Linked DNA regions of Cricetulus griseus. The protein of the gene in region 2 purifies or fractionates together with the protein of the main gene of each other region. This does not show direct contact. Links are inferred from orthologs where the notes say so. Each region holds a gene or a part of one and is shown on either strand. Other genes may lie near its edges. The genes, in order: Ap1s1, Ap1b1, Ap1m2, Ap1g2, Eps15 and Ap1s2.

The links.
Region 1: the proteins of Ap1b1 (region 2) and Ap1s1 fractionate together in Homo sapiens (co-fractionation; 6 studies listed by BioGRID and IntAct, with this or other methods). This does not show direct contact. The link is inferred for Cricetulus griseus from reciprocal best matches to the Homo sapiens genes AP1B1 and AP1S1.
Region 3: the proteins of Ap1b1 (region 2) and Ap1m2 purify together in Homo sapiens (affinity purification with mass spectrometry; 3 studies listed by BioGRID and IntAct, counting the BioPlex papers as one, with this or other methods). This does not show direct contact. The link is inferred for Cricetulus griseus from reciprocal best matches to the Homo sapiens genes AP1B1 and AP1M2.
Region 4: the proteins of Ap1b1 (region 2) and Ap1g2 fractionate together in Homo sapiens (co-fractionation; 3 studies listed by BioGRID and IntAct, with this or other methods). This does not show direct contact. The link is inferred for Cricetulus griseus from reciprocal best matches to the Homo sapiens genes AP1B1 and AP1G2.
Region 5: the proteins of Ap1b1 (region 2) and Eps15 purify together in Homo sapiens (affinity purification with mass spectrometry; 3 studies listed by BioGRID and IntAct, with this or other methods). This does not show direct contact. The link is inferred for Cricetulus griseus from reciprocal best matches to the Homo sapiens genes AP1B1 and EPS15.
Region 6: the proteins of Ap1b1 (region 2) and Ap1s2 purify together in Homo sapiens (affinity purification with mass spectrometry; 5 studies listed by BioGRID and IntAct, counting the BioPlex papers as one, with this or other methods). This does not show direct contact. The link is inferred for Cricetulus griseus from reciprocal best matches to the Homo sapiens genes AP1B1 and AP1S2.

Annotation. Positions count from the first base shown.
Region 1 is NC_048597.1:115,987,426-115,991,369, reverse strand, and holds the start of Ap1s1 (AP-1 complex subunit sigma-1A), read left to right. Parts: upstream 1-1,144; 5' UTR 1,145-1,269; coding exon 1,270-1,272; intron 1,273-3,652; coding exon 3,653-3,831; intron 3,832-3,944. UniProt on the Homo sapiens protein: Subunit of clathrin-associated adaptor protein complex 1 that plays a role in protein sorting in the late-Golgi/trans-Golgi network (TGN) and/or endosomes.
Region 2 is NW_023276807.1:99,858,484-99,860,931, reverse strand, and holds part of Ap1b1 (AP-1 complex subunit beta-1), read left to right. Parts: intron 1-523; coding exon 524-653; intron 654-901; coding exon 902-986; intron 987-1,574; coding exon 1,575-1,661; intron 1,662-1,743; coding exon 1,744-1,898; intron 1,899-2,448. UniProt on the Homo sapiens protein: Subunit of clathrin-associated adaptor protein complex 1 that plays a role in protein sorting in the late-Golgi/trans-Golgi network (TGN) and/or endosomes.
Region 3 is NC_048597.1:134,156,971-134,160,470, reverse strand, and holds part of Ap1m2 (AP-1 complex subunit mu-2), read left to right. Parts: intron 1-2,419; coding exon 2,420-2,568; intron 2,569-2,660; coding exon 2,661-2,732; intron 2,733-3,500. UniProt on the Homo sapiens protein: Subunit of clathrin-associated adaptor protein complex 1 that plays a role in protein sorting in the trans-Golgi network (TGN) and endosomes.
Region 4 is NW_023276807.1:210,295,848-210,300,088, forward strand, and holds the start of Ap1g2 (AP-1 complex subunit gamma-like 2), read right to left. Parts: upstream 2,801-4,241; 5' UTR 2,778-2,800; coding exon 2,752-2,777; intron 2,595-2,751; coding exon 2,390-2,594; intron 1,929-2,389; coding exon 1,804-1,928; intron 1,667-1,803; coding exon 1,525-1,666; intron 1,407-1,524; coding exon 1,310-1,406; intron 1,136-1,309; coding exon 1,059-1,135; intron 937-1,058; coding exon 841-936; intron 306-840; coding exon 225-305; intron 1-224.
Region 5 is NC_048595.1:40,533,908-40,538,074, reverse strand, and holds the start of Eps15 (epidermal growth factor receptor substrate 15), read left to right. Parts: upstream 1-1,367; coding exon 1,368-1,400; intron 1,401-4,167. Other genes in the region: uncharacterized protein LOC103159787, read right to left, coding at 980-1,369. UniProt on the Homo sapiens protein: Involved in cell growth regulation. May be involved in the regulation of mitogenic signals and control of cell proliferation. Involved in the internalization of ligand-inducible receptors of the receptor tyrosine kinase (RTK) type, in particular EGFR.
Region 6 is NC_048604.1:98,735,147-98,739,436, forward strand, and holds the start of Ap1s2 (AP-1 complex subunit sigma-2), read left to right. Parts: upstream 1-1,490; 5' UTR 1,491-1,505; coding exon 1,506-1,684; intron 1,685-4,290. UniProt on the Homo sapiens protein: Subunit of clathrin-associated adaptor protein complex 1 that plays a role in protein sorting in the late-Golgi/trans-Golgi network (TGN) and/or endosomes.

The DNA.
Region 1 (3,944 bases), on a different chromosome or scaffold from region 2:
GGGGTTTTGTTTTTTGTTTTGACACAGTGCCTCAGCCCAGAATGTGAACTTGTTATGTAGCCAAGGATAACTTTGAACTCTGATTCTGATCTGTCTACATCTGCTTTCCAAACTACAGTATTACAGGTGTATACCCTCACATCCAGTTACACACACACACACACACACACACACACACTATATATATATGTATTATATATAAACAAAAAAAGACACTTGCATCTAATAAGTTCTCAACACTAAAGCTCTATACTGTTTTACTTTTTTGGTTTTGTTTTGTTTCTCGAAACAGGGTTTCTCTGTGTATCCATGGATGTCCTGGAACTCGCTCTGGAGACCAGGCTGGCCTTGATGCCTCTGCTTCCCGAGTGCTGGGATTAAAGGCATGTGCCACCAACGCCCGGGTATTTAAAATTTTTAAGGTTACATTTCATATATGTATTTTGTGTTGCGTGGGAGCATGTACAAACCAGGGTACTTGACTGTGTGGATGTCAGGACAGCTTGCAGGGTCAGTCATTCCCTTTCACCTTCTATGGGGGGGGGGGCATCTCTATGATTGGAGCCATCACACCGGCACTGTTTTGTGTCACTTTGCTTAAGATAGGCTCTCTCGAGCACGCCACTTAGCTGAGGCTGAACTTGAGCTACAATTTGCTCCTGTCTGTCTGCCTTCAAAGCGTTGGAATCACAGGTGTACACCACCGCGCCTGCCTTGCTTGTTTGGGGACAGAATATTGTTGTGTAGCCCTGAGCTGATCTTGAACTCTGTTCCCGCACCACCCCGCTTTGAGTGATGTTTTCCTCCTTTTCTGCACACCGTGTTCAGCTCCCGGAATCATCCTTGCTTCTTCATAAACTCTAAAGATCGAGCATCCACCTCTCACCCTTTTCCCGCCTTTCCCCCCCTACAAATGCTCCAGAGCTCAAGGCCCTCGTTGTCCCCTACCTCCGCCCTTCCCATCCTCCAATCAGCCCACCAGGACAGCCTTGTTACCATGACAACCGAGCTTCTGCAAAGCTGAAGTCAAGGACCTGGTTGCCATGGTTTCCGCTTCTCCGCCTTCAGCCCCTCCCGCCTCTGGGTGGGACCGGGAGGGGGAGAGCGCGGCAGCGCTGGCGCCTGCGCAATGCGGCCGCGCGGGGGAGCCGGCGAGGCCGGGGGGCGGGGCTTCAGGCGGAGAGGGAGGGAAAAGAAAAGAATCCGACGGGCCGCGGAGCGGGCTCCTACGGTGGCCGGAGAGGGACGTGCCGGGCCGGAGGCTGCAGGATGGTAGGCAGTGCTGAGAGGGAGGGGACGGGGGACCCGAGGGGCGTGGGCTGTACCTGCGGGGGTCCGGAGGGGGCAGCGTTTGGTGGGAGTCGCCCTGTCTTCCCTGTGGTCCGCTGAGGATCCACTTCCCGGAGCGGCTGGGCGAGCCGACCTCGGGAGCTGGAAATGGCACTCGGGACAGGGGCGGGGAGGAGTCTCGTTGGTTGGGCTGCAGGGTGGCGGGACTGTCCCGAGCAGGGTCAGCGTTCGGGACACGGGGTCCTGTCCTGGAGACGCCCCGGGCGCCGTGGCGGGGGAGCCACCCGCGGAGAGGGGCCCCGGGATCCCCGGGGGTCGCGGTGGCCGAGCCCCCTCCGGGAGGCCCGCGCCTGAGCGCACGGTGCGGCAGGAGGGAGGCGGGAGGGAGGCAGGGGCGGTTTCCGGGTCTCCACAGCTGACCCCCGACTCCGTAGTCGGGGAGCCTGGGCTCTGGAGGACGCGCCGACTCTGCCGTTCCCACCTTCCCACCACCGCGGTCCAGTTTCCTTCCCCAGCCCAGGCCTTCCGTCTTCCTGCCCGCACTCGGCTCCCTCAGTTCTTCACATCCCCTGGCCCCCACCAGCCACCGCCCCTGCTTTCTGGGGGTCTTTGTTCCTTTTAATTGATGGCCTGGAAGCTGAATTGCCGCACACACCCAGAGATTCCAGCCCTGGCCGTGTTCACAGATCTGTTTGCTGGGAATTGAGTTCAGGTTTTGGAAGCAAGAGCCCCCTGCAACTGGGAAGAAACTAGATCCAGGAAGCAATGAGGACTCTCATTCCACAGACATTCCCTAGGAGAGCCATCGGGGTCACTGGACTCTCTGTGAGGGACTTCGTGATCTGGTGTCTGGGACCCGTAACCCAGGCACTCAGGAGGATCAGAAAATCAAGGGCAGCCTTGGCTACATATGAAATATAGGTCAGCCTGAGCTACATGAAGCCCTGTCTCAAAAAAAAAAAAAAAAGAAAGAAAGAAAGAGAAGAGGGCCAGAGAGATGGCTCAGCTTCTAAAGGTACTTGACAACCTGAATTCAATCCCTGGAGTCCTCACAGTGGAAGGAGAGAACTGTCCTTAAAAATTTTAAATAGCTGGGCGTTGGTGGCACACACCTTTAATCCTAGCACTATGGAGGCAGAGGCAGGCGGATCTCTGTGAGTTCGAGGCCAGCCTGGTCTCCAGAGCGAGTGCCAGGATAGGCTCCAAAGCTACACAGAGAAACTCTGTCTCGAAAAACCAAAAAAAAAGCAAAGAAAAAAAAAGAATTCCTTAATGCAGGAAAGATGCCTAAGTCATTGAGAGTACTTGCTGCTCTTCCAGAAGAACCAGTTCAGTTCCCAACACGTATATCAGGCAGCTCACAACCTTCTGTAGCTCCTGATCTGATGCCTCTGGCCTGCATGGGCACCTGCACTCATCTGCACATACCCAGTATATAGACACACAACATAAACTTACACATAACTAAAAATAGTAGTGGGCTAGAGAGAGGGCTCAGTGCTTAAGAGCATGTGTTGCTCTTGCTGAGGACCTGGGTTTGGTTCCTGTCACCCACATGGTGACTTATAACCATCTATAACCCTGGTTCTGGGGTATCAACAGGCATGTGTGTGACACATACATGTATGCATGTGAGTATTGAGTATTTCATACACATAAAGTAAAATAAATCTTTAAAAAATAAGAAAAGCAAATCTTAAAAGAATTCTATAAGGAAGGTAATTTTATGGTTTCTGTCTTTCGAGTAAAGAAACTGAGGTTCAAAGACTTTTTTTTTTTTTTTTTTACAAAGCCAGTAAGATAGATCAGCAGACAAAGGCACTTGCTGCCAAGGCTTGGGTATCTAAATTTGATTCCTGGAGCTCACATTGTAGAAGCAGAGATCCAGTTCCCAAAAGCTATCCTCTGAACTACACACACACACACACACACACACACACACACACACACACACACACACGTAATAAAATGTTTTTGTGCTTATTATTTGTGTGGATGTGTGCTTGCCATGGCAAGAGTGTAGAGGTTAAAGGACAGCTCGTGGGAGTCAGTTCTCTTCTGTAATTTGGGTCATGGGTATTGAACTCAGGCTTAATAGCAAGCACCAATTTAGCTATCTTGCTGGCCCAGTATAAATTAATTTGCCTGAGGTTGTATTCAGCTACTAGGGCCAGGATTGGAACCCACACAGCAGGCTTGACTTTCCCTCAGGAAGAACATTCTTCTTCTCTACCCAGCTGGGACAGAAGTTTTGAAGAAGGTAGTGGTGAATACCGCTGAGTCTGGGGCTTTGCGCTCATGCAAGGAAAGAGGCTCCAAACCCATTCTCTGCCCCTCAGCTCTGGTCCTTCCTCCCTTCCAGATGCGATTCATGCTACTGTTCAGCCGGCAGGGGAAACTTCGGCTGCAAAAATGGTACCTGGCCACCTCGGACAAGGAGAGGAAGAAAATGGTCCGGGAGCTCATGCAGGTTGTGCTGGCTCGAAAGCCCAAGATGTGCAGCTTCCTGGAGTGGAGGGACCTCAAAGTTGTCTATAAAAGGTGACACTCCATCCATTTATTGTTTTCAGTGTACATGAATTGCTCTGGAGTTCACACTGGGTTAAAACGACTGAGAAATAACTCTGTCTCTCTGAAGTCGGGGAGAGCTCCAA
Region 2 (2,448 bases):
TACTGAAGCAGCCTTCCCAGTTTACTTACCTAGAAAGAAAGGCAGGACTTTCCTGAACCTGTGGTGTTTGTGTAGCATGGCCAGTTCCAGGCCAGACAGCGAAATCTTGTCTTTGCTGGGGGTGGTCAGATCCCTCTTGAGTTAGGGGTCTAAACACTAAATACCTAGACTGTCAGAGTTTTCCATTGAGAAGCATGAAGTCCAGACCGCTGGTACTGGGTTAGGTCCTAAAGAAAAGGGCAAGGATATGCCGCCTGACCTATCAGGATCCAGCACTAAGATAAACAGCGGCAGAGGTTAGCCTGCCTTAACCAGACTGGAGTGTAGTGCTGGTCTCAGATTCTTGCCTCCTGTCTACATGGCCAGTAGAGCAGGGAAGGTCATGAGTTTGGGAAAAGCTTACTTGATGAAGGAGTTCTTTGTCCATCACCTCTCACCCCACTCCAGAGCACAAAGAGCCAGCCTATCCCATGTCAGTACCCACTCCCCTGGCACCCCTGTGGGGGCTTCTCTCTTTCTTCAGCTTTGGCTTGGCCCCTGCTGCACCACTCCAGGTGCATGCGCCGCTCAGTCCCAACCAGACTGTGGAGCTCTCCCTGCCTCTCAACACAGTGGGCTCAGTCATGAAGATGGAGCCTCTGAACAATCTTCAGGTGTGTCCCCACAGGGCCAGCACCCCATTTCTACTCATGCTCAGTCCTGGGGTGGATGTTAGCCATATCTGTGGAAGGCCTGATAGAGAATTGTGCTCTTGGTTGCACATGGAACCTGGGCAAGGGGACAAAAGGGCATGGCTACAAGGGAGGGTTCTATGAGAAAGCCTGTGGGGTCTCAGAGGTGGTATAAGCCCAAGAATCAGGGTGTCAAGCCTTGGAGACTGACTGGGGACCCCCATGCCTAGGTGGCTGTGAAGAACAACATTGATGTCTTCTACTTCAGCACCTTATACCCACTGCATGTCCTCTTTGTGGAGGATGGGAAGATGGGTGAGTTGTGAAGGGCCCTGGGGATTTGTGCAATGGGACTGAAGCTAGGGAACCTGAGAAGGCTAGTGCTTATAATAAGGATTAACAAGCTTTGCCTTATGATGGGATCTTTGGCAAATCCTAAGGGCCCCATCTCTGGCTTGCAGGTGGCCTATGCCACCTTCCTTGTGAGCCTTGCTGCTCACCCTTCAGCTTGCCCCATGGGCTGCAAAGAACCAGTCACCATACCTGGTGTCCGCCGTCTCCTCAGTACTGGAGTCAGGACCCCAAGAAGGATGCAGGGAAAGCTGGACCTGGGCTGTGTGTGGCATCTCATCATCCTTGCCACAGAGCCATGTCTAAGGAGCAGGCTCCACAGAGGTGGAAGAAGATGAGGTCAGATGTAGGCTAAAGGAGAGGAGAAGCAGGAAGCAGAGGGCACTTAAGAGCAGGCCTGTGTCCTTGTGAGCTGAAGCAGATGGAACTGTGGAAGAGCCAGTGCTTCACTCAGGTGGCACACTGGAGACCAGACCCATTTCCTGCCATGTGATGCTGAGGGGTACAGATTATCAGGGTCCCATCTCTCACCCAATCCTCCTCACCCTGCAGACCGGCAGATGTTCTTGGCCACATGGAAAGACATTCCCAACGAGAATGAAGCCCAGTTCCAGATCAGAGACTGTCCACTCAACACAGGTAAGCCCTGCCCCCAGTGTCCCACTAATTCTCTCCCTGTATCCACCGAATGTGGGCCTCCCATGGCTGTCTGACCCTGCAGAGGCTGCAAGCAACAAGCTGCAGAGCAGTAACATCTTCACTGTGGCCAAGAGGAGCGTGGAGGGCCAGGACATGCTCTACCAGTCTCTGAAGTTGACCAACGGCATCTGGGTACTGGCGGAGCTACGGATCCAGCCAGGCAACCCCAGCTTGACGGTGAGAACCCCTGTTCCCACTCAGGTCTTGACCCTCTACCTCCCTGCCCTGGCGGCACTTCCCCAGTCAGCATTTCTAGTCTGGGCTGTTAAAAAATGGTGATGGGTGTCACTCTGCCACAATCTCTGAGCCTGGTGTGAGAATTGGTTCTTTGAACGTTTAGAAACTTCAGCTCAACCCCCTCAAGTTACCCAGATAAGACACCAAGGGATATAAACACATATACTCAGATAGGGAAATAGTATCACTGGCTACAGGCTTTGGCCCTGCTGCCATATGGGTGCCTGAGTGCCTGGCTAGGGGCACACTGATTCTCAGCAGCTCGTGCCTCTAGACCTTAAATCAGAGCTATCAGAGGACACCTTCAGGGTGGTCTGGATATTCTGTAAACTGCACTGCTGTTCCCAGGCCTAGAGTTCCCAGGCTTTGCTTCCTCCATGCACCCTTGCCTGGTAGGTGTGGCCCTGTAGACACTACCTCCCAATTCTGGTGACCTTGGCGCTGGTGGGTGGGGCTGTGGTGTTAGCTGAGGTGGTGGTAATTTACATCT
Region 3 (3,500 bases), on a different chromosome or scaffold from region 2:
ATAAGACCCCATCTCAAAACATCACACCAACACAAAAGAAACAAAAGCAGAAATGATACAAATGAGAAAGAAAAGGAACCGAAGAATTGGCTCAGCTAGTACAGTACCTGCACACCAACATAAAGACCTAAGTTTAGATCCCTAGAACACAAATAAAAAGCAGGTATAGCAGGGCAATGATGGTGCACACCTTTAATCCCAGCAATTCAGGGAGGCAGAGGCAGGTGGATCTCTGTGAGTTTGAGCCCAGCCTGGTCTACAGAGTGAGTTCCAAGGCAGACAAGGTTACATGGTAGAACCCTGTCCCCAAAAATAAAATACAAAGAGTGGGCATGGTGGTGTTTATCTGTTCTGTCATACTGGAGGAGTAAGGCAGGAGACCCCAGAGTGCTCTGGCCAGCCCTGTTTGCCAGAGAAACCCTGTCTGGAAAAAGAAAACAAACAAAAAAGCAGGCATAGGGGACTGGAGAGATGGCTCATCAGTTAAAAAGAGCACTGGCTGCTCTTCCAGGAGACCCAGGTTCAATTCCCAGCACTCAGATGGAAGCTCATATCTCTGTAACTCCGAGATCTGATGTCTTCACACAGGCATACATACAGGCAAAATATTAAAGCATATAAAGTAAAAAAACAAAAACAAAAAAAGGCATAGAAGCCAGGCTGTAGTGGTGCATGCCTTTAATCCCAGCATGTAGAAGGCAGAGCAGACAGATCTCTGTCAGGTCAGTCTGATCTACATAACAAGTTCCAGGACAGCCAAGGTTACATGGTAGAACCCTGTCCCCAAAAATAAAATACAAAGAGTGGGCATGGTGGTGTTTATCTGTTCTGTCATACTGGAGGAGTAAGGCAGGAGACCCCAGAGTGCTCTGGCCAGCCCTGTTTGCCAGTTCTCCAGGTTGAATGAGACACCCTGTGTTAAAAGATAAAACAGAGGGCCAGAGAGAAGACTCAGCAGGGAAATTACTTGGCCACAAACACAACGACCTGAATGAGATCCCTAAACCCAGGCAGAAAAACTTGGAAGTGCTGGTATGCATCTGAAATCTCAGCATTCCTTTTAAAGATTTCATTTATTTATGTGTTTACTTGTTTATTATTTGTGGGTATTTTGCCTGTATGTATGTATGTATGTAAGTATGTATATATGTATGTATGTATATATGTATGTGTACCATGTGTGTGCAGTGCCCAGAAAAGCCAGAGGAGGGTGTCAGATTCCCAGGGACTGGAGTTAGTTATATATAGAAGGTTGTCAGCCCCCATGTGGGTGCAGGGAATTGAACCTAGATCCTTTACAAGAGCAGTCAGTGCTCTTAACCACTGAACCATCTCTATAGCCCCAAGAAGTCTAAGCAATCCTATACTTAGTGGAGGCAGAGACAGGAAAATCTTGCAGAAGCTTGTAGGCTAGCTAGATTGGATGACATGAGAGAAGAGAAACAAGTGACCTGATCTTTGGCAAGATGGGAGGGGAGAAGGATGGCAGCCATGTAGCCATGCTCACACACATTAGACAAACCCACAGCAATGTTAAGCATAAAAAGGGCCGTGGCTCAGTGAGATTGCCAGCAAACCTGACCATCTGAGTTCCATCCCTAGGACCCACTTGGTGGAGAGAGAGCTGACTTCTATAAATTGTTTTCTGACCTCCACTTGCACTAGGACCAGCATGCCCCACCTCCAAGTAAATAAATACATGTAATAATAATTTAGGGAAGAAGTTAGGGAGTTTACACATGAATCCATATAGTACATGCATACGTGCAATATACTTACAGGACACATATGCACACAAAGGAGAAAGAAGGGCCTGGAGAGGCAGCCCAGTGACTCAGGGCACTTCTTGCACCTGCAGAGTTCAGTTCCCAGCACCTATAGCCAGTGGCTTACAACCATTCACAATCCCAGTGCCAGGAGCTCTGGCACCGTGTTTTGGCCTCCAGCAGATGCATACACATACAATCATCCAAACACACAAACCTCCATCTAATTAAAAGTACTAAAATTTTTGTCATGCGAGGTGGCTCATGTGTTTAATCCCACTACCTAAGAGGTAGAGGTAGGCAGATTTCTGTGATTGGGAAGCTGACCTGGTCTACAAATGGAATTTCAGGACAGCCAAGATTACGTTAGACCCTGTCTCAAAAAAATAAAATAAAATAAAATAAAATAAAATAAAATAAAACCCTACCACAATTTTTAGAAAACAAAAAACTCCAAATAAAATTAAAGCAGAAAACAGAAGCGTAGGGGTGGGAGGCAGACTCTGGGCTTGTTTCAGCCCCCCCACCACCACCACCACTCAGCCCAGGCCCTGGGCTTCCTCGGCAGACCTACAGAAGGTAGCAGCCAGTAGGGATGGTGGGGCTGAGTGCTCTCCTCAGCCCCAGGGTCACTTTGCTTGCTCCACTCCGAGTTGCAGGCAGCAAGAACAAGTCTGTGGAACTGGAAGATGTGAAATTCCACCAGTGTGTGAGGCTTTCACGCTTTGACAATGACCGCACCATCTCCTTCATCCCCCCGGATGGGGACTTTGAACTCATGTCCTATCGCCTCAGCACCCAGGTGAGCCCGGGAGCCCAGCACAAAGGAGATGGTGGGTAGTGGACCAAGGGCTGACATCAGAGTCTGAGAACTGCCTTCTTGTCTGCCGGCAGGTCAAGCCCCTGATCTGGATTGAGTCAGTCATTGAGAAATTCTCCCACAGCCGAGTGGAGATCATGGTCAAGGTGAGCTCTAGAGGAAGGCTTTCTCAGCAGAGGTTCCATGGCGCCTTCTGCCCAGCAAGGCTCCTGGCTGGGCATGAGGTTTCTGTTTGTTTTTAACCCCCTTTTCCCTTAATTTTTGTGTGGCTGTTTTGCCTGCATGTATGTCTGATTTGCAGAGTTTGCCTGCCTGGTGCCCACAGAGACTGGAAGAGGGCACTGGATCCCCTGGAACTGGAGCCATGGATAGTTGTGAGCCTCCATGTGGGTGCTGAGAATCAAACTGGAATCCTCTGGAAGAGTAGCCAATGTTCTTAGCCACTGAGCCATCTCTCCAGCCCCTCTATTTTTTTTTTTGAAGCAAGATCTCACTGCACAATGCCATGTCTCATGATGGTGATATTGGATTAAACCTCTGAACTATAAGCTGCCATCTCAGTTAAATGTTTTCCTTTATAAGAGTTGCCATGGTCAGGGCTAAAGAGATGGCTCAGAGGTTAAGAGCACCGACTGCTCTTCCAGAGGTCCTGAGTTCAATTCCCAGCAACCATGTAGTGGCTCACAACCATCTGTTATGAGCTATGGTGCCCTCTTCTGGTGTGCAGATATACATGGAAGCAGAATGTTGTATACATAATAAATAAATAAATAAAATCTTTAAAAAAAAAAAAAAAGAGTTGCCATGGTCATGGTGTCTATTGACAGCAGTAGATGCTCTACGAAGACACATGATGCATTAATTATGTCCACCCCTCACCCTCTGGCCCCTCCCAGTCTGCTGACCTCTACCTT
Region 4 (4,241 bases), about 110 Mb from region 2:
TACTATGTTCTCTCTTCTCTGTCCTTCTGCCCCTAACAAAGTTCCCTGATCCCTACTCTATGTAAGAACTGCCTGTACACTAGGGTGATAGAACAATGACAGACTATATCCTTCCTTCACGGAATTCATTGGTTTAGGAGACTTCTGAATAATAAATGGTCATGTGAGGAAAGTCCAGGGCTGATGGACCCTAAGGAACCACATGCCGAAGGGGTGCCTCTTACCTGGGCCAGCAAGTCATTCATGGCCTCACTGCTTTCTTCATGGTTCCGTCCCAGGATTCGAAGCAGACGAAGTATCTGGACCTGAGATTGGATTAGAAGGTTTATAGGATAATGTCGTGGGCCTGAAGTGAAAACACCTAACACTGTGGGCAACACCGAGGGTTCTGACTCCCAGCACGCCCCCACCCAACAGATCCCTGGACCCTGGGAGGAGATCAGAGTTGTGTAGAGTCAGGGGGGGTTGGAACAGGCCTTTTTTGATTTGTTTTTCGAGACACGGTTTCTCTGTGTAGCCCTGGATATCCTAGAACTTGCTTTGTAGACCAGGCTGGTCTTGAACTTGCATAAATCCGCCTGCCTCTGTCTGCCTCCCAAGTGCTAGGACTAAAGGCATGTGTCACCACACCCGGCTTTGGAACAGGCTTTTTATATGGTTACCAAACTGGATTTTCTGACTTTTTGGTAGCTACCTTTGATTCCCTATCCCCAGTCCTAGGATGACTAGAGCAATCATGAGCTTGCCAGTTGGACTGTGCCAAAATGGAAAGTGACTACCAGCCATGGTCTTCCTGTGAAGCCTTTGCTGTTCCAGGGATACAAGTACATCTCAGCTTACCTGTAAGAAGGGATCACTGACTCCACAGATGCTATGCTCTGTTGAGTATCCTGTTGTCACTAGAGTCCGGAGGATCTGTACCAGCTGGGGTACCACCTGGAAGAAGGGCACAGGCAGCCTTGTCTGAGGGTACCTCCTCTCTTCTCAACCATCAGCCCCGATTCTTCACCCACCTCCCGCCTTTGCCTGCCCCACGGCCTGCCCCTTCACTAGCCCACCTTGCGAAAGTGCCTGAGGGCTGCAGGATTTCTTTCACAGAGCTCCGTGATCAGCGTGGTGGTGCCCAGCAGGATGCCTGGGGTCAGGGTGGGGCAGTGAATGGCGGGCCAGGCCATGGGACAGTCTACTACACGTGTGTTTGTATGTGTGCACCACCCTTGTCCGATGAGCAGGGCTTCCTGATTTGCTTTTCATTTCATCTATCCATAGCCAGACCTGAAGTGGACAGTGGAGAGCCCTGTGCCCTTACCATGATGGCGCTCATGGAGCAGTTTGGCACAAGGTGGGAGGAAGACGCTGGAGAGCTCGGGGTCCTTCCGGATCATATGCACAGCGGTCAAAACAGCCTGCAGAAGTCAAGGGCCTCAGATAGGGCCACCAAGTAAGTCAGACTCCGCACCTCTCCTATGTGGCAGATTGGGAACACCTTCTGAAGAGGCAGATGTCTAGAGGTCTACATCTCACCTTCTTTCGTACATAGGGGCTAGGCTGCAGGAGCAGCTTCTCCACCTCGGTGGCTAGGTCTCGGCACATCTCAGCAGAGCCCATGGTGCTGAGAGTACACAGGGCCAGACCCTGAACTGGCTGAATCCCTTGGCTCAGGTCACTGTAGGGTTTGGAAGGACGGTCAGTCAAGCCAGGGGAAACCAGTTCTTCCCAGTACTGATAGCAGGCAGCCCTCTGGGATTTTGCGGTTCCCACTCTCCCAACGCCCTGATTTGAAGCACCCCAGAGCCCTCTCACTTCTTGATGCTGTTGGTAATGAGCAGATGGGCATCGTGCCTCTCATCCAATAGAAGCATGGCCCCAAGGTAGCCCACCCTCTTGTCTGTGAATCTGGGGGAGGCGATCAGTTTCAGGCACTCCATCTACAGGGAAGGAGGCAGGCCAGGAAGAGTAGTGTGAAACCACAGCACTAATTTTGCGGCATCCTCCTCCTTAAGGCCAGATTAACTTGTGAGGAAATCAAATTTCATCACCCTCTCTTTAACCAGAGGCTTAATTGGAGATCCAGATGATGGCAGGCAGGCTTCAGGGACCTGTGTAGGAGTGGAGGCTGGGAAGGTGCTAAGAACGGGGCTGGCTAGTAGAGTAATGGATAAAAGGCTCAGAAACTAAAGGATTTAGCTGGGCGGAATGTGGTATGCCTGAAAATCCCAACACTGAAACCGAGGGAGGGATTTTCGCCAGTTCTAAGCTAGCCTAGGCTACATAGACAACCTGTCTCAAAACAAAACAAAAACTAGAGAAAGAAGCAAACGGGATACAAATACACAAAGGGGCCCATTGATCATCTTCCTCAAGTTTTGTAGCTATCCCGGGTCAGTACCTGTCCAAAGTGGGCGGGGTAGCCCAACATGTGGACGTAGAGCAATTTGGCCAGCTGGCGATGCCTCTGCAGAGGGTCCCCATCGCGGAAGGAGGCCCGAATTTGAGCACACTCCTTCTGAATCACTTCCCGTTCCTGGGCCTGAGTCTTGGCCCCGCGTATCTCTTCGATTAGGTCCTGAAGTTTCAACGAAGGCACCACCATCCTGGGGGCAGAGCCCGAGAGTGGAAAGGCTTTAACCCATTCCAGCCAGATAGCTAGAATTGCTCTGTGCCAAGATCTTCAAGGGCTTGAGTCACACCACCATCCTAAAACTGTGCCCACATTTACCTCCCACCTGGAACCGAGAGCGACCATCCTACCTCGCAAGGACATCCCCACTACGCATGCGTCCTCGCCCCACCCCGTGTCTTTTTCTACTGAGCCTGCGCTAAAGCCCAGTCCCTTTCTTGCTTTCCTTCCCCGACAAGTTTCTTACCTCTAGTTTTCCTTCTGGATCCCTGAACTATTTCTTTTGCGAGATTCCCTGCTCCCCTTCCCATCTCAGGAGGTATCAGTTTCCCGGTCCCAACCTCACCTGGCTTCGGTGTCAACTCTGCTTCTCTACCCCCACCCAGCACTTCCTGGTATAGGACGCGGCTGGGCTTGGTGGTTGGTCTCTGTCCTTCCCTCTTCCCCGCCTCTACTACGGGACCCCGCCCCTCTAGAGCTGCAAGACTGAGCAGCCTTGAGATTTCTGACCTCTGGCCTCAGTCTTTGGAACTTTGGGAAGGAGCCTCGAGTTGTTACAGAACTGTGGCTCCCCAAGGGGCCTCCTTTATTACCCACCCATCAGGTGACACTCAGCTTGAATTTGAAACCATCGCACTCCAAAGGAGATAACAGTCCCCCCCTTTTTGGAACTTTTTTATTAATATACTTTTTTTTTGTTAAATTTCTTTGTATTTTTTTTTCCTGCAAGACTTGTGTTGGCGGCACTGTTGTATAACGTCAATCCCAAATTCCATGATATAGAAATCAGAAGTAAAGGTTGAGAAGGGAGGGAGGAGGAAGGCAGGCCAGGGAGTAAACAGAGGTTGACTAGAAAAATAAGAAGAGTGTGTGTGGTGGGCATTCCCGGGCAAGGCCATTCCTTGAGGAAGGGGGTTGGCAGGCAGCTTGCCTCTGCCTCATGCAGGGAAGGAAAGTTCCCCTGGGCTCTACAGTTTCCTCTTGTAGAGCTTTCTGTCCCCAGAGGAAAAGCTAGTAACAGGGATCAGCCATATCTCAAACAGGGCTCTTCTTCACCCACTTCTCACCTGGGGTTGGCGCCCGCCCACCTCTGCCCTGCCTGGGAAGTGTGGGAGACATTGCTTCCTCTGACTCCCCTTTGTGTTCCCATCTCACAGGACTCTGATGTGATGGGCTGGAAACAACTAGACTTGTTGCAGCTTCTGCTGCCCTTCCGGCTCTTATCTGACTTGGCTCTATCCTCTAGAAGTGCTCCCCACAACTGCCAGAACTGAGGAGCGGAGTCTTCGATTGCTCCCGTGCCTCTAACCCTCGGCAGAAGTGTCTTCTTCAGGCCCCTTAGGAATTTAATCAAAGGCCACAAGTGAGTCCAGACCAACCAAATAAATTTTTAGGGGGCAGAAAAGGATAGAGAGGTGAGTGGCAGAGTCTGAGAGGAGTGGGCTTGGTGCACCAAATAGTTTTTGTTGCTTTTCACATTGCACTTGGCACAGCATGCCATCCTTGGGGGTTGGGAGAGGGACTGGCTGAGGAGCAAAGGACAGGGAACATCTAGGGAGTTTTCTGCTGTTCACTCCCCTTTTCTCCCTCGGGGAAGGATCAAGTTAGGCAAGAACTTAGC
Region 5 (4,167 bases), on a different chromosome or scaffold from region 2:
GTGTACACTGGTTTGGAGAGGAGATACCTTGCCAAGAAGTGAATTTGGGATGGGACCAGGGCTTTGTGCACACAGGTACCACTGAACTGCACTGTGGTCCTACACATTTGTTTTTAAGTGAACACTCTAAGAGAGAAAGGTAGCAGACAAGGGAAGTAGTCTTGTCCTGCTCCCCAGATTTTGGCTTTAGGAGGAAAGGATTTATTACTTGCCTTCATTTTCAACATGACAGCAGGTAGAAAGGCCTTGGAGTTAAACTGTAATCTGGCTTTTTAGTCAGATGTTTGACTTCAGGTAAGATAATTTCTTTTTTTGGAGGGGTGTTCCTTTTTTTTTTTTTTTAAATTTCAGACAGGGTCGTATGTATCACCTATGTATCCTTGGCTGTTCTGGAACTCACTATGTAGACCAGGACTGTTGGGAAGCTCACAGAGATGTGCCACCATGCCCAGCTGGGTTTCATCTTCCTCATTTGTATAGTTTTTTTTTTTTTTTCTGTTTCAAATCCTCTAGTCACGCAATTAAAAAAGAAAGAAAGAAAGAAAGAAAAGAAAAGAAAAGAAAAGAAAAAAGCCGGGTGGTGGTGAGGCAGAGGCAGGCATACCTCTGTGAGTTTGAGGCCAGCCTGGCCTACAAAGCAAGTTACAGGATAGCAGGACTACACGGAGAAAAACCTGTCTTGAAAAACAAAAACACAAACAACAACAACAACAAAAACAACAAAAGGGCTTTTAGGACTGGAGTGGTAGCGCACACCTTTAATCCCAGCACTCTGGAGGCAGAGGCAGGTGGATCTCTGTGAGTTCGAAGCCAGCTTGAGGCTACATAGAGACACCATGTCTCAAAAGCAAGCAAACAAAAAATTAAAGCATTTAGTGCAGAGCCAATCGCACATAAATTAGTATAGTTTAATATTATTATTGCTAAACCATTGCTATCATTACTTAGTACCATTACTCTCGTAGTTCCCACAACCCACCTGGACCTGGGTATATTTTCCCGCACTTTTCAGGAACAGCAGCCCAGAAAGGTAGGCGTTTTGTCTCAACTTCTCAGGTCTCTGTGGGGGCCGCCTCCGCCGCCAGTCCGCCCGGTGCGCCATCCGCACCGGGTTTTCCAGGGCGGCCGGGGTCAGGGCCTGGTTCCGCGCCCCAGACACCCGCGCCGGGCTTTGCGCGCCGCCGCGGCCTGTGGGGCGGGGCGGCGGCGGGGCGGGGCGGGGCGGGGCGGCGTGAGGAGGGAAGTTGTCGAAGTTCGGGGAGACGCCCGGCCGCCGGCCTCGCCTACGGCCTGTCCCTCCGCCTCCTTCCCGCCCCGGGCCCCCGTCCGCCCGTCCTTCCTTCTTCCCGTGGCATGATGGAAACACCATGGCTGCGGCAGCCCAGCTCTCCCTGACACAGGTAACGCCGCCCGCCGGTCCGCCCGGGTCGACCCGCCGGGTTTCCCCAGCCCTCCCCACCGCTCTCGCGCTGGCGCGGCGGCGCCCCGGGGCGCGCTCGGCGGAGCGCGTGAGGAGCGCGGGCGCGCCCCCGCCCCGAGGCGCGGCCGCCGCGCCCCGCCCGGGTCGCCGGGCGCACGGCTCCGCCCCGCGCGGCTCCCACCCTGCCGCCTCCGCGGGTCTCCGCTCCGCTCCCCTCCCGGTCCCGTCAGCGCTCACGCTCTCGGGAAGTTTCTCTGCGGGCCTGACGGCCGCCAGGTGAACTCCCGTAGGGCTCGCGCAGTGCGAGGCTCGCCCTCGGCGGAGCGGGGTTCCCTCAGCTTTGCTCGGCTTTGGCGTGCGGGAGTGACCGCTGCCGAGATCCCCCCGGCTCCCCGAGTCATCCTCGCTTCCAGAAGTCGCAGCCTGCCCAGGTACTTGCCCCACTCGCGCCTCTCCCTCCTGGCAGGTTAACTTCTGCTCAGATCCCCTTGCAGACTTTCCCACCCGTGCGGGGCAGTCTCGGATCGCCGACCCAGTGGGTAACAGCGCCAGCCTTCAGCAGGTGGGGTGGCCCTGTCCTTCGCCGTCTGGGATCCCCCGGGGGACATAACTTTGTCCTAGGACGATTTCATCCAAAAGCTGTTTTCGATCTCTCTGAATCGCTCCCCCGTCTCGCTATTTCGTCCCCCCCCACCCCCGTTTTCCTTCATAGTCAAGTCCTAGAGTTTCATAGGGAACTCTTGAACATATTCACTCAGGAGAGCCGGAGTTCTCCGTTTCTTTAAACCCAAGAGCAATCCGACATCCAGGAGAGTGAGGTGCCATACACCTGCCATTCCATCCATCTTAACTGCCCAGAAGTTTGTCCTCCCCAGAGCTGGTAACTGCCCACCTCAGCTTTACAGCCTGCCCTGTGATAGCTCCCTTCCATCTTGTCTCTTCGGCCTAGATTTACTTGACTTAAGCTAAAGTTTTTACACTAAGGTAGGGCATGTGTTTGGACAGTAGACTCTTACTGTGTTACGATGAAGGAGTCTTATGATTTTTTCTTTTTCTTTTCCCCCTAGCATTTTTGGATAGAAAAGAAAAAAAGTATCTTCCCTAGGGACCAGGATGGAGATTTTACTTACTTTGAGACAGGGTTTCATGTAGACCAGGCTGTCCTTGAACTCAGTGAGTAGTCAAGAATAAATTGAATTTTGGCTCATTCTGCCTCCATTTCCCAAGTGCTGGGATTATAGGCTGGGCCACTATACTAAGTTTATTTATTGCTAGGGATCAAACCCAGGACTTCATGACGGCTAGGCAGGTACTCTACCAACTAAGCCACATGCCCAGAAAAAGTGATTATATATATTATATATAATATATATAGTCTCTGTCTCCGTGCCCCCCCCCACACATCTCTTCAGGTAAAAGAGTTTCAGTGTACAGGAATAGCCTCACAAACCTCACTGCACATTTATTTCCTGTGGGTCATTATGTTTTGATCAGCAGATAACAGGGAAAACTTTTAAGATAGAGCCTTTAACTGGTCTAGTCTTGGTCATTAATCTGTTTGGAACGATCATTCTGAAACTCAAATTTGGGGAATGGAAACATTGACTTTTGGGTGTTGACTTTCTTAGTCTAGTTAGTGACCTGCCTTAAACATGATCTCTGTTGGCAGTCTGTTCTGACTCTGTTGGCTAATTCTGGCAGTTTCCCCTCTTAAAGAATTCGTTCCCTTGAAGACTTCTTAGTTGTGTGCCTACTTGATTTTCTCCTTGGATGGGACTGTGTTTTTAGTTTCTGTTTACTATCATTCATCTCTGGAAATTTGCTTCAGGCTCTTACTTTTATAGTCACTTTCACAATTTACATATGTTCTTGTGGTTATATATTTAGGTGTTAACATGTATGCAGAATAAATGCTGAATCAATAAGGGGAATTGAACTTTAGTATCCAGTGTTTGAATTTATATTAATAATTCAAATAAGTCAATTTAGAATATTTTGATATTAAAATACCAAGATTCAGTGAGATTATATTGTAAAGGCACAGAAGAAAACTGTTTTTAAATATTTACTAATGTGTCTTCCTTTGAAACCTAGTAAATTTAGCCTGGCGTTGGTGGTGTATGTCTTTAATCCCAGCACTTGGGAGGCAGAGACAAGCCGATCTCTGTGAGTTCAAGGCCAGCCTTGTCTACAAATTGAGTTCCAGGACAGGCTCCAAAGCTACAGAGAAACCCTGTCTCCAAAAACCAAACCAAACAACAAACAACTCCCCCCCCCAAAAAAAAAAATCTAGTAAATTTGTGGTTCTTAGATCGAGTTAATTAATGTATATGAATGTTTTGCCTGCATGTATATATGTATATGTTGGCATGTGCATGCCTGGTGCCCATGTAAGTCAGAAAAGGGTGTCAAATCCCCTGCAGCTAGAGTTATGGATGGTTATAAACCATCATGTGGGTGTTGGGAACCCAACCTGAGTTCTCTGCAAGAGCAATAAGTGGTCTTAACCAGAGTTAAGTCTCTACAGCCCCTGGTTTTTAACGTGTGTGTGTGTGTGTGTGTGTGTGTGTGTGTGTGTGTGTGTGTGTGTGTGTGTGTGTGTGTGTGTGTGTGTGTGTGTGTTCTGAGACAGTCTCACTATATAGCGCAACCATGGCCTTGGCTGCCTGGGACTTTGTAGACCAGGCAGGCCTCAAATTCAGTTATACCCACGTCTGCTAGGTTTAATTTTTTTTTTTTTAAGTTAA
Region 6 (4,290 bases), on a different chromosome or scaffold from region 2:
GGGATTTGCGGCAAAATCAAAGCGAGGGAAAAGGAATACTTCTGCCACGGTTTTCGTCCCATGTTAGCACATCATTTGTTTTAAGGAAAATGCGTGGTTTCCTGGTCCTCCAAAGTGGTAGGGCGGATGCTGGACCCTGCTACAGATAGCCTAGAGCGCACTCCTGTCGTTAGCAAACCCTCTCTCCTGGTCACCAAGATTTGAGAAAACCCAGTCGTTTCCTTCCCCAAGTTCTAGTAACGGTTTGCGTTGAATGTCCAGTTGATGCTTTACTTGTCGTCCTCTTCGAATGCTGCTGTCTTCAGAACTTATATGGGCGGCACTTTGCTATCAATGAATTATATAGCGTGTTGTGGGTAATAGCCAATTTTAACTTCATTAAAGTTAAATGGCTACGCCATAAATTTCCGCATGTTTTCTTGAAGCCTTTTGGGGATATTACGAAGTGAATTTCCTGTCGAAATTTAGAGCCAGTTTGATTTTATATTAGTTACGTAAATTCCTCCTCCCGGTGTTCAAATTTAAGGTGGTGTGGTGAATATTAAGATCTGCCTTGGGGTCTTACTTGCACTGGCTGGTGCTGTTAAAGGAACTTAAAAGGGTTAAAAGAGAACACCTAACCGAATTTACCTTCAAATTAGCTTTACAATAGAGCTCCTTTTTACCAGTTGAATTATAAAATACCTGCCTTAGAAAATGTAGCCTGACCAACAGACATGCAAATGCTAAGTAAATACATACAAATTACCGTCTAGTGTGTACAAAACACACTAGAATCCAGCATATATTCAAATATATTTTTATTTTAAAATAAGTATTTTGTGAAATGTCTCAAATTTTGTTTTTAAATTAAGTATTCTCTGCAGTGTCTCAATATAAATAACTTTTGGTTAAGCCTTTCAGACTTGTATTATTCTCTTTCACATTTTACATTAATTCAGTTCTCCAGTGCTTATTTGTGTTAGATCTTACAAAAGTGAAATGCAAACATAAAAATCAGGCTTTTGTTAAGAAAATGTGTTGTTTGTGAGATCTTTTTGATTAATATTCTGTTTTGCTTACATATGTTAGCATAAATTGAGGGGAGTGCTTTAAGTGATAATCAGTCTGGCTGCAAGAAATTCAGCCTGGAACTAGAATAGTCTCGGGGTAGTACCTAAATCAACTACCTGATGTCTACAGTTGCCTTTTGATGCATATAGTGTGGAATGTGTAGCACAAGGAGAAAATTGTTTCTTAAATAATCAGAGTTCTTCAAAAATTTCACTCCAAATTCCCACCTGTTCTTCTTGCCATACACTCTCTTCTACACTTACCTACATATAGTAAGAAGATCTTGCCAAAAGAATTTCCTGCTATTATAGCCTGAATAGATGTGTTGATGGCTTACTAATCATTTGGCTGGGTATTTTCTGTATCCCCAAAGCAGCTCTGAAAAACCATGTGATCTTAACTCTTAATTCCTAGGTAATTGTATGTAATCTTGATTTTATTTATCTTAACAGATGCAGTTTATGTTGCTTTTTAGTCGTCAGGGAAAGCTTCGGCTGCAGAAGTGGTATGTCCCACTCTCAGACAAAGAGAAGAAGAAGATCACAAGAGAACTTGTTCAAACGGTTTTAGCTCGGAAACCTAAGATGTGTAGCTTCCTTGAGTGGAGAGATCTGAAGATTGTTTATAAGAGGTATCATTTTTGTATTTATCAGAAAGGTGAAATATGATCAAACATTAGGTTTATCTCTAATGAGAAAACTGCAGACTTTTTATGTCAATCAACAAGGATTAACAAATATTTCAATGAAATAAGTTAGTTTAAAGGAAAACTTTCCTTTTAAAAATAATGGCTGTTTTGATTGCTTGCCTAAAGCTAAAATGCTAGCAGCAGGGTAATCATTATTAAATTAATTATATAATTACAGCCAAACAATTATTTGTGCTTGGTCAACATTTTAGAAAAATTCAATGAATTCATTTCATTACAGGGGTAGTAGGGACACTATTTTAAATTTTTAAGTAATTTGATAAATAATGGGCATGCATAGATAATAGTGTGATAATCCTTCCAAAAAATCTATAAAGATTTATCAAGTAGCTGATATTTGGCATTCCTTTTATCTGACTTCTATATTAATCTTACTTATAAAGACCCTGAGCACATAGACCATTTCACTATACAGATGTTTAAGTACTTGTGTCTATACAAGATCTCTTTGCTAGTAGTATTTTTAATTTCAAATAGACTTGTTGCTATGGCGGAGTTCTGCTTAGATATGATAATTTTACCAAGGATAGATTTTTTTTAAAAGTGATGTTGCAAAATAACTTATAGATTAGCTTTTTACACAGTTTTTTTCTTTAATGCTATACATCTTTATTTTATATTATAGACTGTTTTTAGAGGGAACATTTCTTGTTTCTTTCCCATTTTTGGTCTTTTTTGAATAATTTACTGAATTTAAGATAAAAGCATTTCTTCATATAAAACACTCTTGTATGGGGAGTGTACAGAAAACTAACAGTAGGAAATGCAATGAAGGTGGAAAGAAATCATGTTTTCTTCTATTTTCTGATACAACATTCCAAGTATGGATGGGCTTTGTGGTGGAGGAGGTGACAGAGTAAGAAATGAGATTTATAGGACATAAAACCCTCTTAGGTGCTTTAGACTTATCTTTATTTCATAATGAATTTCATCAGTCTGGGTGGTTTTTTAAATTCAGTGTTTGGCTTGGTACTGGTTGAGAAAGATCATAGGAAAATCATAGCATTTGAAAGCTGGGAAATGCCTTAGAACAATCTACACGTACACACTCTCACACACAAAATATATATCTTTTTGACAGGGATAGAGTCTTGACTAAAACAAGTAGAAATACAGTTGCTTTTGTGGAATGAAAAATAAGAAGCTGTGCCCTGGCTCAATTGGCCTCTGCTCTCTGCACTAGAGAGAGGTCTTCAATTTGAAAAACAGTTACTGTTCAAATTTCAATTTATAAAAGATGAGAATTTGTGAATAGTGGTTTGGCCCAAGGTCATATACTAGTGATGGGCATGGGGCTACAACTTGTCTTAAGTGTAGAGGCAATGGTTTTAAACAGATGTGGGAAGAAATAAAGATTAGATTTGCATTTTTGAAAAGATTGCTGTGAAACCTTGGCTGGGGGAGTGAAAGGGGCTGAGACTGGCACCTGCAGGATCAGTGAGGGACTGCATGATAATTGGGTCCTGAGCTGAGAGGCTGGAAAGGAGACCTGTTACCTAGGTAAGTCTCAGTAGACTTGGCCACCCCAAGAAGCAGAGATAGCAACCAAGGAAAGAGGGAGTACAGTGGAGGCACCTCCATTTCTAGAGTTTGGCTTATGGGATGAAAGGTAAGCTAGAGAATTCAGTTAATTTGGTGACAAGTTGATATGGCCATATTTGTTCACTTGGCTCTCTGATGGGATGTGGTGGGCATAGGCATGGAACTTGAAGGTGACAATTAAACTTAAAGTATTAGATCACTAGCATTCAGGTGCAGATGGAAGGGCTAAAGAGGAGGCTTGCAGATCAAAATGAGAAAGAAGCAAAGGAGTGATGTTAGGTAAGTAAAGCCCAGGAGCAGATAAATTTGAGAGTAAAACACTAATGCCAGCTGTTCATGAAATTCAGTAAAAGTGAACAGCTCTTAGAATCTTAAGAGTAAGCACTTCATGCATTGCCCTGTTGCCAGAACATTGTCAGTGGAGTAGAGACAGAATTCGTGATATAACGAGGTGAAGATAGAGAAGTTGAAACCGCATGTGTAGAGTATTTGGGAGAGCTTTGCCAAGGACAGAAGAGGTGGTAACTGCTGGCTAGATCTGTATTCTGGAATCCTGGATAGGGTTTATAAAAGATGTGAGAAGTTTAAGCTTATTTCTAGATAGTGAAAGGAGTCCCCCGTGTGGAGGAGGAAAATCCTAGCAAGAGAACAAGCCCATGAATGGGGCCATTCAGAGGAAGAAAAGGAAACAGCAGGTTGGAGCTCGTAGACTTGTCGCTCAGCCTATTCTGGTGATCTCCCTACCTTTTTCAGAAATGATAAAAGAGAACTCCAACCTGATCTGATATTTAGATCAAAGTTTTTTTTCAAATGAAATTTGGAATTAACAAAAAGAAAAATAGCTTTATTGAGATGTTTCATATATAAAATACAGAGTGTATAATGTTTTTCTATAGGCTCCCTCGCATTTCATACTGAAAACTTCATTTACTTCCCACTTAACCATGTATTTTGTTATTATCAGGTGATGTGTTTTCCCTGCTCAG